Linked DNA regions of Schizosaccharomyces pombe. The protein of the gene in region 2 binds, or shares a complex with, the protein of the main gene of each other region. Each region holds a gene or a part of one and is shown on either strand. Other genes may lie near its edges. The genes, in order: mis12, mis14, spc24 and mis13.

Evidence for each region.
Region 1: mis14 (region 2) and mis12 share a complex: the UniProt entries of both Schizosaccharomyces pombe proteins name them as parts of the NMS super complex.
Region 3: mis14 (region 2) and spc24 share a complex: the UniProt entries of both Schizosaccharomyces pombe proteins name them as parts of the NMS super complex.
Region 4: mis14 (region 2) and mis13 share a complex: the UniProt entries of both Schizosaccharomyces pombe proteins name them as parts of the NMS super complex.

What each region holds. Positions count from the first base shown.
Region 1 is NC_003423.3:1,137,252-1,141,497, reverse strand, and holds mis12 (MIS12/MIND complex Mis12), read left to right. Parts: upstream 1-1,879; 5' UTR 1,880-1,970; coding exon 1,971-2,750; 3' UTR 2,751-2,967; coding exon of another isoform or gene 2,968-3,130; 3' UTR 3,131-3,295; coding exon of another isoform or gene 3,296-3,381; 3' UTR 3,382-3,433; coding exon of another isoform or gene 3,434-3,442; 3' UTR 3,443-3,745; downstream 3,746-4,246. Other genes in the region: SCF ubiquitin ligase complex subunit Skp1, read right to left, coding at 693-713, 759-1,126, 1,201-1,248, 1,302-1,350; protein Swi5, read right to left, coding at 2,968-3,130, 3,296-3,381, 3,434-3,442; NifU-like protein nfu1, read left to right, coding at 3,909-4,246. UniProt on the Schizosaccharomyces pombe protein: Acts as a component of the NMS (Ndc80-MIND-Spc7) super complex which has a role in kinetochore function during late meiotic prophase and throughout the mitotic cell cycle.
Region 2 is NC_003424.3:3,112,922-3,116,457, forward strand, and holds mis14 (MIS12/MIND complex Mis14/Nsl1), read right to left. Parts: upstream 1,626-3,536; 5' UTR 1,492-1,625; coding exon 1,442-1,491; exon of another isoform or gene 1,356-1,441; coding exon 1,208-1,355; exon of another isoform or gene 1,079-1,207; coding exon 644-1,078; 3' UTR 531-643; downstream 1-530. Other genes in the region: cwh43 (glycosylceramide biosynthesis protein), read left to right, coding at 1-379; SPOM_SPAC688.03C (AMMECR1 family protein), read right to left, coding at 1,695-2,052, 2,182-2,405; glutathione S-transferase Gst3, read right to left, coding at 3,146-3,536. UniProt on the Schizosaccharomyces pombe protein: Acts as a component of the NMS (Ndc80-MIND-Spc7) super complex which has a role in kinetochore function during late meiotic prophase and throughout the mitotic cell cycle.
Region 3 is NC_003423.3:2,753,844-2,759,888, reverse strand, and holds spc24 (protein Spc24), read right to left. Parts: upstream 4,464-6,045; 5' UTR 4,385-4,463; coding exon 4,231-4,384; exon of another isoform or gene 4,184-4,230; coding exon 3,848-4,183; exon of another isoform or gene 3,718-3,847; coding exon 3,611-3,717; 3' UTR 3,585-3,610; coding exon of another isoform or gene 2,082-3,584; 3' UTR 2,018-2,081; coding exon of another isoform or gene 1,907-2,017; 3' UTR 1,129-1,906; coding exon of another isoform or gene 655-1,128; 3' UTR 501-654; downstream 1-500. Other genes in the region: GARP complex subunit Vps52, read right to left, coding at 1-250; tif512 (putative translation elongation factor eIF5A), read left to right, coding at 655-1,128; RNA polymerase I general transcription initiation factor subunit Rrn7, read left to right, coding at 1,907-2,017, 2,082-3,584; transcription factor TFIIIC subunit Sfc3, read right to left, coding at 4,955-6,045. UniProt on the Schizosaccharomyces pombe protein: Acts as a component of the NMS (Ndc80-MIND-Spc7) super complex which has a role in kinetochore function during late meiotic prophase and throughout the mitotic cell cycle.
Region 4 is NC_003423.3:1,153,745-1,157,444, forward strand, and holds mis13 (MIS12/MIND complex Mis13/Dsn1), read right to left. Parts: upstream 1,878-3,700; 5' UTR 1,858-1,877; coding exon 868-1,857; 3' UTR 560-867; downstream 1-559. Other genes in the region: ade7 (phosphoribosylaminoimidazolesuccinocarboxamide synthase), read left to right, coding at 3,374-3,700. UniProt on the Schizosaccharomyces pombe protein: Acts as a component of the NMS (Ndc80-MIND-Spc7) super complex which has a role in kinetochore function during late meiotic prophase and throughout the mitotic cell cycle.

The DNA.
Region 1 (4,246 bases), on a different chromosome or scaffold from region 2:
TATACAAAATTTGTAATTAATATGAATGTAAACTAAATTCACGCAATCATTAATTGTTAATTTGGAAGCTTGATATTATTACGATTCGCATTTTACATAGCTGCTGTCACTATTTTTAAGAAAAGAATCGGATTTTTTTAACAATTCATTGTTTAGCGCTATTATATTACAACACTTCTTTTTTTTTTTTTTTGTTATAGTAAACCGCTAATGCAAACTACATAGGACTATTAGCTCCAATCGTTCACCATATTGAATGGAAGAGTAAAGATAATCTTATTGATGAACATCCCTATTTTGTAACAAGACAAAAGCAAGCTTTAAGCAATTCGGGATAGTAAGTTCAACTTTCTAAATCGTAATTCACATACGTACTTAAAACAACAGTAAAAGATAACGAAATGTGCTTTGTTGGGATAAAATATGTTCATCAATGTACATTTGTATATATGCGATAATGAAATTGATTTGCTGCGACTTAATACGACCAGTGTTGGTACGTCAAGTATCAAGTGATCGCACGCATCGTGAAAACTTCAGTAGTAAAAAATCATCAGTATACTTTATATCAATTTTTTTTTTATAAAAAAAAAAAGGCGCATGATGAGGTGGATGGGAAGATTCCCATTTTACACTGAAAACTACACTTAATGATCCAAGGACAAAAAACTTTATACACAAAAAGCCACAAACTATCTGTCTTCGGCCCATTCCTGCAAGCGGTTAGAATTAAGTTAATAAAGTACCAAGGAACGTACATTTTCTTTACGGATTTGCTCTTCCTCCTCAGGCGTAAAATCATTAGGGATGTTAAATGTTTTCCGAATGTCCTCAGGACTCTTGCCACGAATCATGTTGGCAACGGTTTTACAACCAGTATCAAGCAAAGGTTTAATATCCAAATAATTGCTTGCCAAAACTATCTCGAACAACATTTCCTGGTCTACGGCCATAAACTTACGATCCCATTCATCAATATCGGTAGACTTTTTTAATCTAATGTCACTTTCCTCCTCAGTTCCTGAATACAAATCGTTTTTGTGATGCTCACACCATTCGAGTACCTTTCGCAAAACGTTCGATGATACGTTTGGAAGAGGAATGGGGACATTAATCTCACCAACGTCTATTGAAATTGAGATTTTAGTAACAGGGTCCATAATAATTATTGCACTCAACAAGCGCTTGTATAGATCATACCTTCAAGCATATTTTTTATAAGCATACTTCTCTCAGCGATCAGTTGATCTATAAACAGTTTGTCAATTCACTCAATTCAAAACATTCTCCGTTCTACATACCGACCACGAACTCTTCATTGTCAGATGAAATCAGTTTGATTTTGGACATTGTTGATGTATGTAAGTAATGGATGAATGAAAGTTAAGCTGTTAGCATTTCTAGTTATGCTGATATTCCTACAGTGGCAGAACTCACTAATTCGATATTGGGAAAAGGTGCTAACCCTCATTAAATCAAATTGCATAGCAGAACGATCCCACCGTGATAGCTAAAAAAGGCTACTGAAGAATAATAAAAGAAAGCATAGAAATTGAGGTTTAAGATGAGTCCGTACTATTAATGTATAATTCGAATATAGTTAATATTAGTGTATTCCTCCACTAGAGCTTAGTTGAGGATATAGAAACTCTAGTAATGATTTACCAAGCACAAATCAAAAGCCACACTTCTAAGCAACTAACAAAATAAACCGACTAAACTGTTAATCGCCTGAGTTATATGTTCCTCACAGCAATAAAAACAGCAACAAATCTATGTATTATTCATACTTTTTGATGGGATATACGGAAATCCCTTTTACCTCGTTATTATCATATCTGAGTACACCAGACAAAATGCAACATGGGGTTGGTACATTGCAGAACAACTTGCCGTTTAAAAATCATAACTCACTAGTTTCCTCTTTGGAAGCTAATCAGTGTTTTCAATGTAAAGGAATTAATTAAAAAATGTTAGTGGAGTTACTAGAATTCACTCCTCTCTCCTTCATTGATGATGTGATCAACATTACGAACCAACTGTTATATAAAGGTGTAAATGGTGTGGATAAAGCCTTTTCACAAACGCGGTTTGCTAAAAAAGCGCCACAGGAAATAGAAGAAGGACTACACAAGTTCGAGGTTCTCTTTGAAAGTGTGGTGGATCGTTACTATGATGGTTTCGAGGTGTATACACTTCGAAACATTTTTAGTTATCCACCAGAGCTAAAAGGCTACATGCGTACGTTTGGAAAGGATGTAGACTATTCAATCACAACAGAGCAAGACGCCGCCATGGATCAAGCAATTCAAGAGGCTGCAGAAAAACTCGTAGTAAAGATGCAACTACGTCGTGACCTTCGCATGCGTCTCAGCAGGAAAAGAGAAAAAAAAACAGAAATAGAAAAGCATTTGGAAAGAATTTCTTTTCTCAACAAAGTACCCGAAAATTGGCAAGTTACTTTACCAGAAACTACCGATTTCCTTCTTGATCAACTTGGTAATCTGCAGCATGCCGTTAAAAGAGTAGTTGAAGCCTCTCCCACTGTACACTCACGAGAGGTGGATGAAAGAATTACCTACTTAGAAAAAGGTTACGAACGATTATCTAATCCCATCGACCAGCAAAAGGATTTTTGGTCACATCACTTGTCAAAACTAGAATCGACAGCCAATACTGAAACTGCAAATAACATTCATAAGTTGCTATTGTCATCTGAAAAAGACGTCGGACATACTGACGAGCCTTAATACTAATCAACTAGCTAAAGTCTTGAGATGTTCTAACAATTGTGATCGTTTACGTAAACTTTCATAATAAATATATAAGAATTGGCGTTGGATCTCTAGCGAAAGCAAAGTAATGCTTAATAAAGAAAACTTGGATTGTCTCTGTCACTTTTTCCGTTACATTTTTATTTGTTTTGTTTAACTTCTCTTTTTTCCTAAATAACTGAATGGATAATAATTATTCTGACCCATTAACTCCAAATCTGTCAAACAATTCGACACTTGTACATTTTTCATGCTCTGCCACTTTGCCAATCATTCCCAAAGCAATATCCCGTATTTCATTATAGGTATGGAGTAGATCGATATGTTTTTGTACAGTTTGCTTAGCATCTCGATTTCTAAATCATTTGTCAACATTAGATAAAACGAGACAAGCTTGATGATGACTTGAATAGATTTGATGGAACGGCAATACATTGCTTTTCCCAAAATGAACCTGAACGCGCGTAAAGGCGCATAACTCATATTTTCTACCATTTCTAGCATCACTTTACCACACTTACTTTAGCTTAGCTAAAGCGTCTTGTAAACTACTTTCCAATTGCTCCTTCTGCTGTTCAAGCAAATGGACGCGTGACTCAAGTTGAGACTGCAGTAATTCATCAGTATTTTGTGAATGAACAATGGTACCGTTGGCTTACCTTTTCCATACGATTTAAACAGTTCTTTCTTAATGAAGCAATGATGTGTGAAATTTACTAGGAAGGTATCTGTTTTTGAACACCTAGTAGAAATTAAGTTGTTGAGGAAGGCAGGAGCCTACCGATTTGTTCAATTGAAAACAATGTCTATTGTTCTTGTAAGAGAGAATTTAGATTAGTGATGAAAGACAAGTAAATTGTTGAATCACGAACAATGGCTTATTTCAATATAATGAACTTCGCTAATTTGTATAAGAAAGTATAAGGATCACATCGGTTTTCGTATGCCCATGTACAAATTGCCTTCTTGCATGTATTTAAAGAATTGCTTACATTAGCATTTCCTGATTTAAAAATTGTTAATAAACATTTAAATTTTCCCATCTGTTTGAAGTGTATACTTAAGAAGTTTCAAATTCTGAACTTGTCTTAATATTTTGTCTCTTATTGGATAAAGCACGATTTGATTCCAAGCATGTTATTTCCTAGAGTTGTGCCGTTTCAATCTTTAAGGACAGCATTCCAAAAGAAAACCTTTTTACCAGTATCTTCAGCTGGTAACGTTTTCACTCCACGTTTCCAATTGCAAGCAATTCGCAGCATATGGATCCGATCGGAGGAGACACCGAACGAAAACGCTTTGAAGTTCCTGCCAGGGCTAGATATCTTGCCTCCAACTATCGGAAGCTGTGAATTCATGAGAGGACAAGGAACTGTGAATTCTCCATTGGCACAGAAACTATTTGATATAGATGGAGTTGATAGCATTTTTTTTGGAAAGGACTTTATTACTGTTTCCAAGGGAGCAGGAAC
Region 2 (3,536 bases):
TATGCGCGAGAGTCCAAGGCCTCTAGTGTTTCTCGGATATGTTGTTTCAAACGTTGGCCAAGAACCCCAAACTATTCTAACGCGAGACACGGGAATGTTAGACATTGAACCTGCTGACTATGATCGTTGGTGTCAGTATATATTTTATCGAGGTGTCAAGCGAATTGGTTATGCTAGACTTCATCGCTCTACTATAACAGACACCGAGCTTCAAACCGGAAAGTTTTTGGTTACCAAAGATTTAGGTAGGAACGTCAGAATCGACAAGGAACACGTTCCTGAATCACACAGGTATCCATCATTATTTGAAGGAACGGGTGTTAATGGACATTACTATGACAATAATTTAGTTGTTCACGAGCCGTGGTACTATGATTAAAATCACAAATTTGATTCATTTAAATTTCCATGGTTTTGAAAAGAAAAAGACTGATATAATTAGAATCAATATAAGCATTATACGAATTTGATAAACTATTTAATATGTTGTCTGCAGTTATGCACTGATTAATAAGATTTGTTAAGATTAGTACATTATGAATCAACCGGTTTGTTTCTGGTGAGCAGTTGGAATGAAGTATAAGTTGAGATGAAATAGCACTAAATTAATATTAGTTTACCCGTATATTAAAATTATTAATGATTAAGGAGTTTTTTCCAATCGGGCAACTACTCTAGGGAGATTTTTCTTTAAATATGCTACTTTAGCAATAGTCTGCTCGTATCGGTCGATGTCCTCTTTTCTAAACACAGTTGTCGAAGTTTGTTCATCCGGGTTTTCTACTTCTTTATCTTGGAGAGAAACATAGTCATCTTTCACGTTTCTTAAAAATGCGGTCTGTTGCTCCATCGCATCAACATATGCCTTTTCATATTGTGCTGGTACAGACTTTCGGTATCGAGCCACTAGGACATGAGCATCTTCTACTTCATTGAATAATTGTTGGACTCGAGTACGAAGAGCCAGATCAAATGGCTCAATTTGGTCGGAATTTTTTGGATCTTGCAAGGCTGAATTTGCATCAAAGCCATTGATTGTAACGTTTTCTTGTATTATTGAGAAAGTGGATTCAATCAGCTATATGTTAAGCATTAGTAATTGAAGAGGTCTCTCATTTTACTTTATATATATATATATTTTTTTTAATCGAAGCTGCTATGGAATTTCGACTTTATGGCTGATTAGAAGCGTGTACTGTATACTCACCTCGTTTAACATTTCTTTGACTCGAATTCGCAATTGGTCTTCACGACCCATTCCAGCTTCCCGTGAAGCTTGTTCTGGTAAATGAATAGCAAGTTTTTCTTGTATGGCTTGACGAAACACCGATTTTACGTAACTGTAATCGTTGATACTTATAAAGTGTTAAAATCAGATTTTCTAATTTCAAATTAAAAGCATAAATAAAAGCTCTAAACTACATGGGATTATGAAACACACCTTTCCAATGCAATTTTTGGTAAAACGCTAGCATCTCCGTGAGACGACATGAATGCTAGAAAGAAATGTTTTTCTTTAAGAATATATGATTAATAGATTAGAATATATTAAGAGAAAGTTAAATTTTTAGCTGAGAGATAGAAATCATTAGTCTGAAAAGAATTTGGATGTGATAGTACTGGCTGAAAACTTAAGCGATAGCTTAATTACGCTATGTAAATAGATAGAAAAGAACCATTGTATATAGATCAGGTTATCCCAGAAGCTCCAAATTATGAAGATATTCTTCATAAGTACACCCGATTTCCAAGGACTTATAGCGAGTAGCAGTTATTTGTAAAGAACGTATTGATCCATAGTAGCCTGCTTTATGTATCAAGCTTTCTAGGGTTTCCTCTTGATCCCAACGTTGTTCAGCCGCTACAGAAGGTAGATAAGTCGAAGAATAACGAATTCCATTTGCCGTAAATTTAATAGACACGCCATGTATGCCAACTTCCCAATCTAATGGATCATCTATCGGTTCAAAGTCGACTAACAAGTCTATCTGGCACTCTAAAAGAGCCAATTCTCCCAAGGAGATAGGACGAAAACGTTCATCACAAAATGCACTATTTTTAAAATGTTGTATTAGCATTCGGTTACTCTTCTTTTCAATTTCATCGGCAATTTCATACGAAGGTCTATGATTTATCATTGACGCCTACAACGAACTATGAACCATTTTTAGACACACTTACGCTTGTTTACTGAAATATGTTAAATTTGTAACTAAAGGACGTGCCCGGAAAGTTCCAATGCAACCTCGTAGTTGTTTATCATGGCCTTTTCCAGATGCAAACTTTACGAACAGAGGGATACTACGGGTCCAACTCTTTGCATTCCACTTGTCTCGGACCTTTCGATGCTCTAAAGTTGCAGCAACTACTTCAAAGCAATAATAACAATACTCTTTCTTGTCCATTTATATTAGTGGTAGTAGCAATTGCCTACGGACGCTTTCGGTACAATTTGTAAGCCATGGTATTTTATTCATACATCATTCCAACTTTCTTTGTTTAAGGATGGCCAACAAATCATACGTTGTAAGTGATTACGATAACGTCCAAGTTCATTATACTGTTTCATGTTTCATGTTAAAAAAAGTTAGTTAGTAGGGCCCTGTTTATGTCTTCTGTCATAAAGTGAAAGAAAATGGAGAACTTGTTTAACTGTACACTAAAGCATTCTTTACAAAATAAATACTCTTCTAAGTTTTCACTACCTAGTTAAACAATTCATGCAACAGCAGCAAAACTTATTGAATTCAAAAGTAGTCATATATAAATTAACATTAAATCAAAAACAAGATTTGTAACCATAACTTCTTTTTCAGACTAAATAACAGTAACATGTTCCCATTCACAAAACTAGATGTATACGCGTATATAATATATATATATATGTATAGAGAGGGAGACAGATAAAGAGAGAAAAGTCCAAGCGTTTAAGCACCGAAGCCTTGTTTCTTGCATCGGAAAATCATTTCAAAAGGGGTGTCGCAAAAATTTTTATGTAGTTACCACAATATCCTAGTTATTGTACAAATCATTATCTACATTAACAGCATAAGTTCCGTACAAGCAGAATAAAAAAGTAAGCTTGCTGAAGCCTTGTATGTCTCAAGCCGACTTGCTTAAGAAAAAAAGAGCCACGGCAGAAATCTTATTCATCAGAGCGAACTTGCTCGGGAGGAGGGGTAGGGGGATGGGAGTACCTTTCCACATCAGAAAACAAAGTCAACGTATTGTCTTCAACTTTTTCAGCAGCAATTCGACATGCAGGCCTATCACTGACAACCCGCATCCAACGCTTAATATTTTTGTAAGGTTTCTGAGATAGGTAATCTCTTTGAGCAGCAAATATAGGAAAGCACATCTGCGGGTCCGCAGCGGTGAACTGTTCGCCTGCAAAGTATTCGTTCGATGCGAGGTGATTATCAATGTAGTCAAGGTTCAAAAATGTTTCTTTACTTAGATACTTGGATTTTATCCCATTCACAAACTGGCGAACAATATAACGAAAGAAAATGGGAGTCATGTTCACACTAAGATCC
Region 3 (6,045 bases), on a different chromosome or scaffold from region 2:
CAGGTGGAAGAATCGCACCATCAATCTCTGCTCCAAGTGCTGACTCCACTGCCTTCAAATTGTTTAAATTTACTTGAATTTTGTTTGAGCGCTCACTGACTTTGTAGATATCACTAGTAGCGACATCCAGATCCACCTGGAATCGCTCCAAAGAGCTCAGAACATCATTCAACACTGACTTGAGAGAATCAAGTTTGTTTAGATCATCACCACTTCCATCATAAACATCCTGGGTAGAAGCTCTCTGCATGCCGGACTTATTATACTGTACCTATAGATGTTATATCTCAACGTGACAGCTGCATCCCAGAACAAATGGAAGGTATAATCCTGCAAATAGTTAGTTTGGTAAGTTAAGGAGGGTTAAGTTTAATTTAGGTGTTGTTTATCACCCTGGTTTCGGCGCTTCCATCAGTGTTAAGCCTGAACAATTTAATGTAATCTAACGATACGTCAAATAATTATGATGAGTTACTTTACGAATTTTAACGTTGCAAAGGTATACTTCAAATAACATGTATTACGTTTTACTTCACTGCACTTAGTTTGGTTGCTTTAGGGTAGGGTTAAAGCAATCTCACATGGAAAAAGTAGTCACATTTAACAAATGGGAAAGTGATGGGCATGTTCATACAGAAAGAGCATAAACCAACAATGGCAGAAGAAGAACACGTCGATTTCGAGGGTGGTGAGGCCGGTGCCTCTTTGACCTTCCCTATGCAATGCTCTGCTTTGCGTAAGAACGGACACGTCGTCATCAAGGGCCGTCCTTGCAAGATCGTCGACATGTCCACCTCTAAGACTGGTAAGCACGGACATGCCAAGGTCCACATTGTTGCCCTTGATATCTTCAATGGTCGCAAGTACGAAGATATGTCTCCCTCTACTCATAACATGGACGTTCCTGTTGTCAAGCGTGACGAATACCAACTAGTCAACATTGATGATGGCTACTTGAACCTCATGACTACCGATGGTACTACCAAGGACGATGTTCGTCTTCCCGAAGGCGAACTCGGCAACGAAATTGAAGAGGGCTTTGAAGAGGGTAAGGATTTAATCATTACCGTTGTCTCTGCCATGGGTGAAGAGATTGCTCTCGCTTGCCGTGATGCTCCCAGCGCCTAAATATAAACCCTCTTCCCTTTAAAAATGGTCGTTTAGTAAACAAGTTTTGCTCCTCCTTTACCATATTCATTGTTTGTTTAACGATTTTTGTAAATAGAATGTTCTTTGGAATCTGTAAACGTAAGACTTCTTATATATCTGATAGTTTTAAGATAAATTAGATTATGGTTATATATTCGTACTACGGGTATGTATCAAACTGCTTGATGGCTGTTATTTTCTCTTTTAAATGTATCAGTAGCACCTTTTCTTCAGCCTATTTTAACTTTCCTCAATTTTTATCCTAGTTTCAACCTTTATGTCTCAAGGTTGGATACCCGAGGTAATATATAATCTAGAGTGGACTTGCAGTTTTTATATAATGGCTTTTCACAATAGTTAATCAATGTATGCACTATCTACCAAGCCGTTACAACTCATATGTATTAACGTGGCGCCCGTTAGATCTCAAAAACTGCCTATCGCTACTGACTGACTAACAGTCTACTGTGATACATTTGTGAAGGATTTATCCAAAACTATATAAACGGTATTTCGCAGCTGAAAGAAAATCTGTTAGGTTTTTTCAGTCGATTCATACTTTCCAAAATATTGGTAAAATGCTGGCATAGCAGTTTATAAATAACAACACCGTTAGAAACTGTGCAGATCTTTTTACAAATGCTTACCTACTTGAATACCCTTTAAGTGTTTTGTTCTCTTATTTTTCTTCGTCTATAGTTCACTGTTTGTACTTTTAAATAAGTCTGCATCTATTTGCATATCCAGTTCCTTTACAATGGAAGGCAATTGGTTTGAAGGTCCGCCTTGTTCTGTAAGAAACTGCAAAAGTACTTGGTATTTTAAAAATGCAGGTCAAACATTTTGTCGTCGTGGTCATGCTCAACATGTAAGTTGTTTTTAATAGGTTTGCGCTTTAATGAATGTTCATTAATAAAATTGTTAAATTTTAGGGAATTGAAATCGCTCAAGATGATGAACCTGGTGCAGGGACTTTTTATCAAACTCGTAAAAGAAAGGTTGTTCGCAACCATCTAGACACTGGAGATGAAGATGAGATTGTTTATGGTACCGCTGGTAGAAGCTTATATCTTCAGGCTTTTCAAATTATTCTTCAACTTCAATGTCAAGCGTTAACTACGAAACTCGGATTTGACCAAAGAATAGAAGGCATGATACGTGACCTTTGGGCGCTTTACCTTTCCCTGTCTTATGAATCATTTACTTCTAGTTTTCTTTCCCTCAACCAAAATTCAACGCAATCAGAATCATCAGATTCGGATTTTGATCTCATAGATCCTGAGAGTCAACCGGGAGCTGATCCGAGCTCAAGAAAAACGAAGGAAACTTCTCAGTCGCATTCTATATCTTATCCTCGGCTTTTATACTCTTCTGCCTTTATTTATGTCGCCTGTCTTTTACTAAGACTGCCTCTGACCATTCATAAACTCGAAGTTTTAATAAGGAAAAATATTATTCCATATTATAGAGCGTATAAACAGATACCTCTAAAAATATTTAAAAGGCTTCAAAAAAACTATGTAAGGATGCTAATTCCTTTTCATTATCCAACGTATCAACGCATACAATCCGCTGTCTTGACATTGGTTGACGTTTTAGTATCTAAATACGAACTAAAAGTTCCTCCACCTAATGAGCCATTGATACTTTTTGAGCTTATTAACAGTTTCTTTTTTCCCTTAGAAATCTTCATACCTGCTTCTCGTTTACTAAATCTCGTTCACTCGCAGATTTCACTTCAAGGTACCTCTAGCGATAATTATCAAAGCAAAATACGCAGTGCTCAATCGATACATGAAAAGTTATCTGATGCGGAGGTTATGTTACTCGCTACCATCTTAGTAGCAGCAAATGTATGTTATGGGTTTGATGATGCCCAAACTCGAAATTCCAAATACAAAGACTCGATGTTCACTGTTAAAACCAACTGGAACATGTGGTTATCCCAAGTGCAAAAAATTAATGAGAAAGAAAAAGACAAGTTCTACGAGATAGACGAGCAATCCATTTTGACGCTCAATAACTCTGAAATGGATAAATATTTTCAATGGTATGAAAAAGAGTTTGTCGAAGAAAACAACCCAAATAATATTCCAGAAGGAATTCTTAACGTATTTCCGATTCTTTCGAAAGACAGCCATTTACAAGAAAATCAACCTACAGATATACTCACCGACGAATCCGTCATTGCTGAAGATGTAAAGTTAGAACAAGTGTTCAAACCTGTAGGCATTAAAGAGTCTGATAAAATGGACTTTTCACGACGAAAGGATGCTTATATATCAATGCTTCCTTTTTCACCTAATACAGAAAATACAGCTCATCGGGTTACTATCATGGTAGCCAAATTGTATAATATCAAATTGGATTCTCTTATAGCGGCCATTCGTTATGTTGAGTCATGTTTAAAAACCGGTATACACAATCAAGATTAAATAAATAAATAAAATAATAGTGCCATCTATTTTTTGTCCTTACTATCATCAAGCAAATCCCAAAAATAATTAGAATAAAAATATGGGCTATACTTGTTGCTGATTTGTACCGTTTGCAAATCGTTTTCGGTATCTAGGAAAGTGTGAGTAGATTCGAAAAACAGTTTTAAAGTTCAATTTTAAAGCTTGAATTTTTCATATCATCAAGCTTTTTAAAGATAAAAAATTGAAAGGTAAATTCAAATTATGAGCAAATGACATACGTATTATAACCCTTTTATTCCCAGTGTTCTCAGCAGTTTCTAAATCGAAGCCTAAAGAATGATAAAAGTTCAGCTTTAACATATTCGCATTTTCCTCTGACTGACATATGTCTTCAGAAGTATTTTCGCGTTCCTCAAGTTGTAGTAGCTGTTCCTTCATTTTCTGCAATTGAGATTCTAAACTCATAATTTCGTTCTCAGTGATATTCAACAACTTGGCTATCCTAAATTTCTCCTTTTCCCTGCTTAAAATCTCCTCAGCGTGTTGTGATGACTCTGCTGTTTGTTTTAATGACTCCATAGCCTGGGTAGATATTTCTAATTTTCTTGAAAGCACTATTCACAGTTAATGCATGGTCGTTTATTTCTAGATTAAAACTAACCTTTAAATTTGGTTTGAGATCCTTCCAATTCTTTTTCTCTGAAGCTCTGTATCTGTGCGCGAATGTCTTGAATGTTTGAGATGGTTTTCACATCTGGTGCAATTTGAAAACCAGCAAGCGTGGACCGCATAAGTTCAATTGGACTGTCTGACATATTTACTTCTCTTTTATTTATGTTCTTTTGTGTTTAAAAAGTAATTTCTTTGAAAACTTTCAACGTGGTCGTAACGTACGAAAAGGTACGAATGATGCTACCGTAAATAAAGTATGGTTAGAAAATCAACCTTACTCTACTAATATATATATATATATATATATATGCATACGTAAATTAGTTAAACAAATCTACATGATGCAGGTTTTTTCTTTTTTCTATAGGAGCTAAAGTTATGTACATAAAACAGAAAGAAAAGAGATAACCTCGATTCAAGTTTTCTTCACCTTTTCAGCAAAACAGTCGATGAAACCTTTTTGATTTTTATACGATATAAAGTTTAGATGGAAGAAAACGCGAAATCAGATTAATTCAAAACACGCTAATATAATTAATTATAGATTAGAAGCAGACACAGCGTGGTATCTTTTAGATAATTTAAAAATGAATCCTAAATACTGTACAAATAAACATTAAATCGTTGCTTGTAATATAAATGTTCCAAATCGACAAGCCTATTGAAAGAAAATACTCAGCTTGCATCATCTCATCATGGTGACATTTAAAAGGCTAAGTTAATTTAAAGAGATAATTATGGTTTAGATATAAGCCATCCTTTTCAATAGCGGCACCTGCTGCTATAAAGTAATCAAGTACTTCGTTAAACTCACGGGGTTCTAATCCGGGAAATAGTAAGTTAGTCAGTTGGGATCTCAAGATTCCGGGTTTTCGAAGCAGTTGGTATACAATGGACTGCTCGATATTCATCCATATCATCTCAATAAGCTCGCATTTACCATTTAACCATAGCCGTGGCTCATGCGAAGGTGGAGTTGCCAACTTTTCAGTAACACCATAATTTTTTTTAGATTCACTTTCTTTGCCGCTGAGAACAAGAGTTACATTGATATTGTCATGTTCTAGCAAACGAGTACGATAGCCTTCAGATAGACCATACTCATTAAACTTGCTTCCGACTATAGATATTTGCAACTTTCCTTGAGATAATAAATCAAGGATACATGCGAGAGTTCCACTGTTAGATGTTTCTTCAAATAAATGATTCTTATGATTTTGAAAACCCTCCAATAAAAATTTATTAAATCGCTTGGCTTGTGACAATAAAAATGGAGGTAAAGGAGACTTGAGGGAACTTGCAAATTTCTCCGTAAACTGGAAGTTTCGACCAGGCTGCAATCTACTGTTTTCTGAATTAACTCTAGTAATTATTCTCTTATCCAATAATTCTTGATGAGCAGCGATGAGAATATCTTCTGGATACTGCATAAGACGTTCTTGCGAAAACCGAGCATCATATGTAGCGTCTGGGATGGCAACGATGCTCTTGATAGTAGACTTCGCATCAAACAACTGACCTTTCTCACAATTCTCATCCCCTTCATTATTTTGTTTGTCATTTAAGGAAAGCGGCATGGTAAAAGGCATATCACAATACGCATTCATTTTCGAGGCAACTGACAGGGAAGGATCAAATATCATTTCCCGGAAATTAGTTTCTTGTTTAACAACCTCTATATTGTAAGTTTCATAAACGTCAACGAGGTCTCTCGGTAACCTAGTAGTAGCAAGATTTGAAGAACTAATCATATAAGGTCTACAAGACGCCTTAACATATGGGGTAGGATCAAAATCATCAACAG
Region 4 (3,700 bases), on a different chromosome or scaffold from region 2:
GCTTGTTTTGTGTCTTTTTTTTCGTTATGCATTTGGTTTGCGTTGTGTACATGCAAGGAATTTAAAGCCTCTATTATTTCAGTTGGCTATCCCACTTTTTTAAAAGATATGCCAACAATCTTGGCTTCGTAAAGCGGTCAGAATTTGCTGCTTTGCTTTTTTCGCCTCAGGGATCATTCCATAAGTGAACTTAGATATGTTCCTTAAGCATGCTTCCACCTATCCATTGCTAAAATTTTTTAAAATTCTTTAGCTCATGTCCCCACAGTTTCAGTTTGGGTTTGGGATTTCTTGAATTTGTCTCCAATATTGGTGCACCGTTGCGTTTGAGAAGCTGCCTTAATATTTAAATAATGTCCAAGCTTCATAGAAATCGTGGTTTTTTTTTAATTTCATGTATGCGGTTTTGTGTTTGAAAGTTTTACGTTACTATTATGACGGAATTTACCACGTGTATTCTGGTTATCATAAAGCTATTGTTAATTACACGTTACATGTTTCGAAACCTGCGACGATGTCTGCTCTCGCTTTTTAAAATTTAATTATAGAATATAGACTTTAGAGATAAAGCTATTTATTTCTCAAATATTTCAAATTAATTAACTATGAAACCTTTGATAAATTCTAAATATTGGGTGAATAGTAGCAGTTATGTATCGTACATTGAGTGTAGATAGTAATGTGAGTGCGCGCTACTACTATAGGAGTTCCTTTGAAATAACGTATAACATGAATTTTCAAACACAGTCCAGCTGGTTTGCACACCTTCATTATTAGTTAATTAGCAGCAATGGCACGCAAAAAGACATAAAATTAACGTAAAAATAAGTAAAAATTTGGGCATAACAGTATCAGATTAATCCAATTTTAAACTGATTCGTTTGAGGAAGATTTATAGGAAGCTTCTGATAAAAGCCTTAATAAATTCATAGTATCCACATATTTGGAGAAGGACAACAAACTTTTACGATGGGCTATGAAATCCTGGGCAGCAAGGCGACCATATGATGATCGGACTTCAGGTCCAGCGTTAGTCAAAGAATGCAAGGTATGAATATTTTCAGCAAGCATGTCCAGGAGAGTGTGGAATTTTGGTTTCAGCTTACTTATATTAGGAAGTTCTGGTGCATCATCTGGGGGTAATGGAGAGTCCTGTTTATCAAGGTCTTGTTTAGAATCTATGGATTCTACAGCTTTTTTAAAAGATAAAATTGATTTATCTGAACTGACGGAATTAGCAGCAACAGCCCGCCATGCAGCTTCTTCATTATGGAGTTGGGTAAGCTTTGCCGACAGTTCGTCCACTAGCTGAGCATTTTTGAGATTTTGAGGATGAGGTTTATTAGGAATTACAGCATCAGGTGGTCTTTGATACCAACTAACACTAACTTTATTAGCCAATAATTCGTTAAGAACTTCTTGAACTATTGATCTAGCAATAGCTGCCTCACTGGCTTCCTCCGTTTCACCGTATTTTTTTCTTTGCTCTTCTAAGGCCTTTGAAGAAGCCCAAAGGAGAAGTTGTTTGATACGTAAAGGTTCGGATAAGTCTTTGGATATATGGCGATAGTATTCATGCGATGGAACATCTGCATGTGGTAAAGCTTCAAATCCAGTACCAATGCTACTAGCACGCTTACCCCGTTGGTCAAGACTACTCCTTCTTCCTTTACCCTTGCGAAGTTCTTTGTTTCGCTTCACAATTGGTGTATCAGACACGGGTAGCTCAACTAACCCATCGGTTTGGGAGGTATCTGGATCATCCTCCACAGATGATTTCCTTCTTTTAGAACCAGCTTTTTCTTTACCCTTCCTAACGAATACAAATCCTTCCTGCTCTTCAGGCTTTCGTTTCATAATGGATGCTGGTTAGGGTCAAGTCGAGTCAGGATTGCAAAGACTACCTTACTCATTGTTTACACTAGGTAACCTAACAAAGTATAGCGAGCGCGTTATAAGTCGGCCTTACAATTGAGCATTGAAAATTCATCAAAGCAAAGTATATTCATGTAGAGAATAAATAAAAAAATAAATAATGATTAAATTCTTTTTTACTGTTAAGTATTCCTTTCTTTTTGGAGATACACTTGTTACAACTTGGTATAAAATATTTGTTTAATTGCTAGATTATCTTCGAACTTGCAAAAACAAAAATATATATCCTTTTTTCTGCTGTAAAATAATAAGAATAATAATTTTAACATAATCCATTGAATGGTTGGTTAATTCCCCTTATAAATTCATAAGACCTCTTCTTATACTATATCAAGTTTACTGTTTATGTAATATATATATATATATATATATATAATTGAGGAATGCGACATGAAATGCTAAGCTGAAAAGTTATGCAAATTACAAAATGTGGATATTATTACCATTAAAACTGTTTACAGTTTTTGACAAATAGTCAAGATGTCCATGAGCTGCCAGGATTGAGCTTGTACTTTATCATAATTGTTGAAAAATATAGCGACGATAAATAAGATGAATAATCAAATATAAGTATAATGAAAAATATTCGAGTATTCTATATGTACAAAATCTAAATTGTAGTAATTTTCAGACTTAGCTGGTTATTGTTGATTTTAAATCGCTGCATATTATTTACAGAAAGTACCCAATTTTAGATTACATGGCTTTGCAGACAAGCCAGAACTTTAAGGATCCAGTATAGTTTTAAGAATTAAAAGTTTGAATTATCCTACTCTTAAAACACTTCCTATATAAAGTTGTTTCAAAATATTCTGCAGTCAAAAAGGCAACAGTAGTCGGTGTTTAAAGCTCTTTTTAACTTAAGTGAAGTAATAGTTTTCTTATTATAATTATTAATTTATTTGTTTTATTTATTTTAATTAAACATGGAATTTATAACCACAGCATGTCCTGTACAACTTACTTTTCGAGCACTTACTTAGGTTGCCATCATCCTCAAATACGAATTTATTTCGGAATTTTTAAATTCTTTATAATTGAAAAGAATCTTTACTGATTATCTGTTCTTAATCTGTCTCAGTGTATTGCCAAGATCTACGACGATCTGTCTCATCTCTCTTGTATCTTTCCTTTCTACTACATCGAAAGTTAGAGTTAACTGGATTCATTGAAACCAGGGTTTTTTGGAGCCAATTCTAAGTGGTATGTTATGTAATAGTATCCTTTTTGATAATTGTAATTGCTTTTGTTTCTCTGAAATTTTTAATCGATGTTCTATGTTATACTATATAGACCTCATACAGAAGAAGCATATTAAAACGAAATGAAAAGAGATCACACGGATTTTCTTTAAATACTTTGTTATTTTTATACCAAAAGCTAATTGTCTTCAAGTGGAATAGTTTAAACCTTCATTTCTACATCAAGTTCATTTCAAATGGCATTATTAAAAACTTCGTTGGATGCTCCATTCACTAAAATTGCTACCGGCAAAGTCAGAGACCTGTATGAGTGTGTAGAATTTCCCGATGATCTTTTGTTCGTAGCAACAGACAGAATAAGCGCCTATGATTTTATCATGGAGAACGGCATCCCTGAGAAGGGAAAGGTTTTGACAAAAATTTCAGAATTTTGGTTTGATGTTTTAAAACCTCATGTCCAAACTCATTTGATTACTTCTAGGTGGGAAGAATTACCTCCTGTTATCACGAAGCATGAAGAGTTAAAGGATAGATCCATGCTCGTTAAGAAATACAAGATTCTT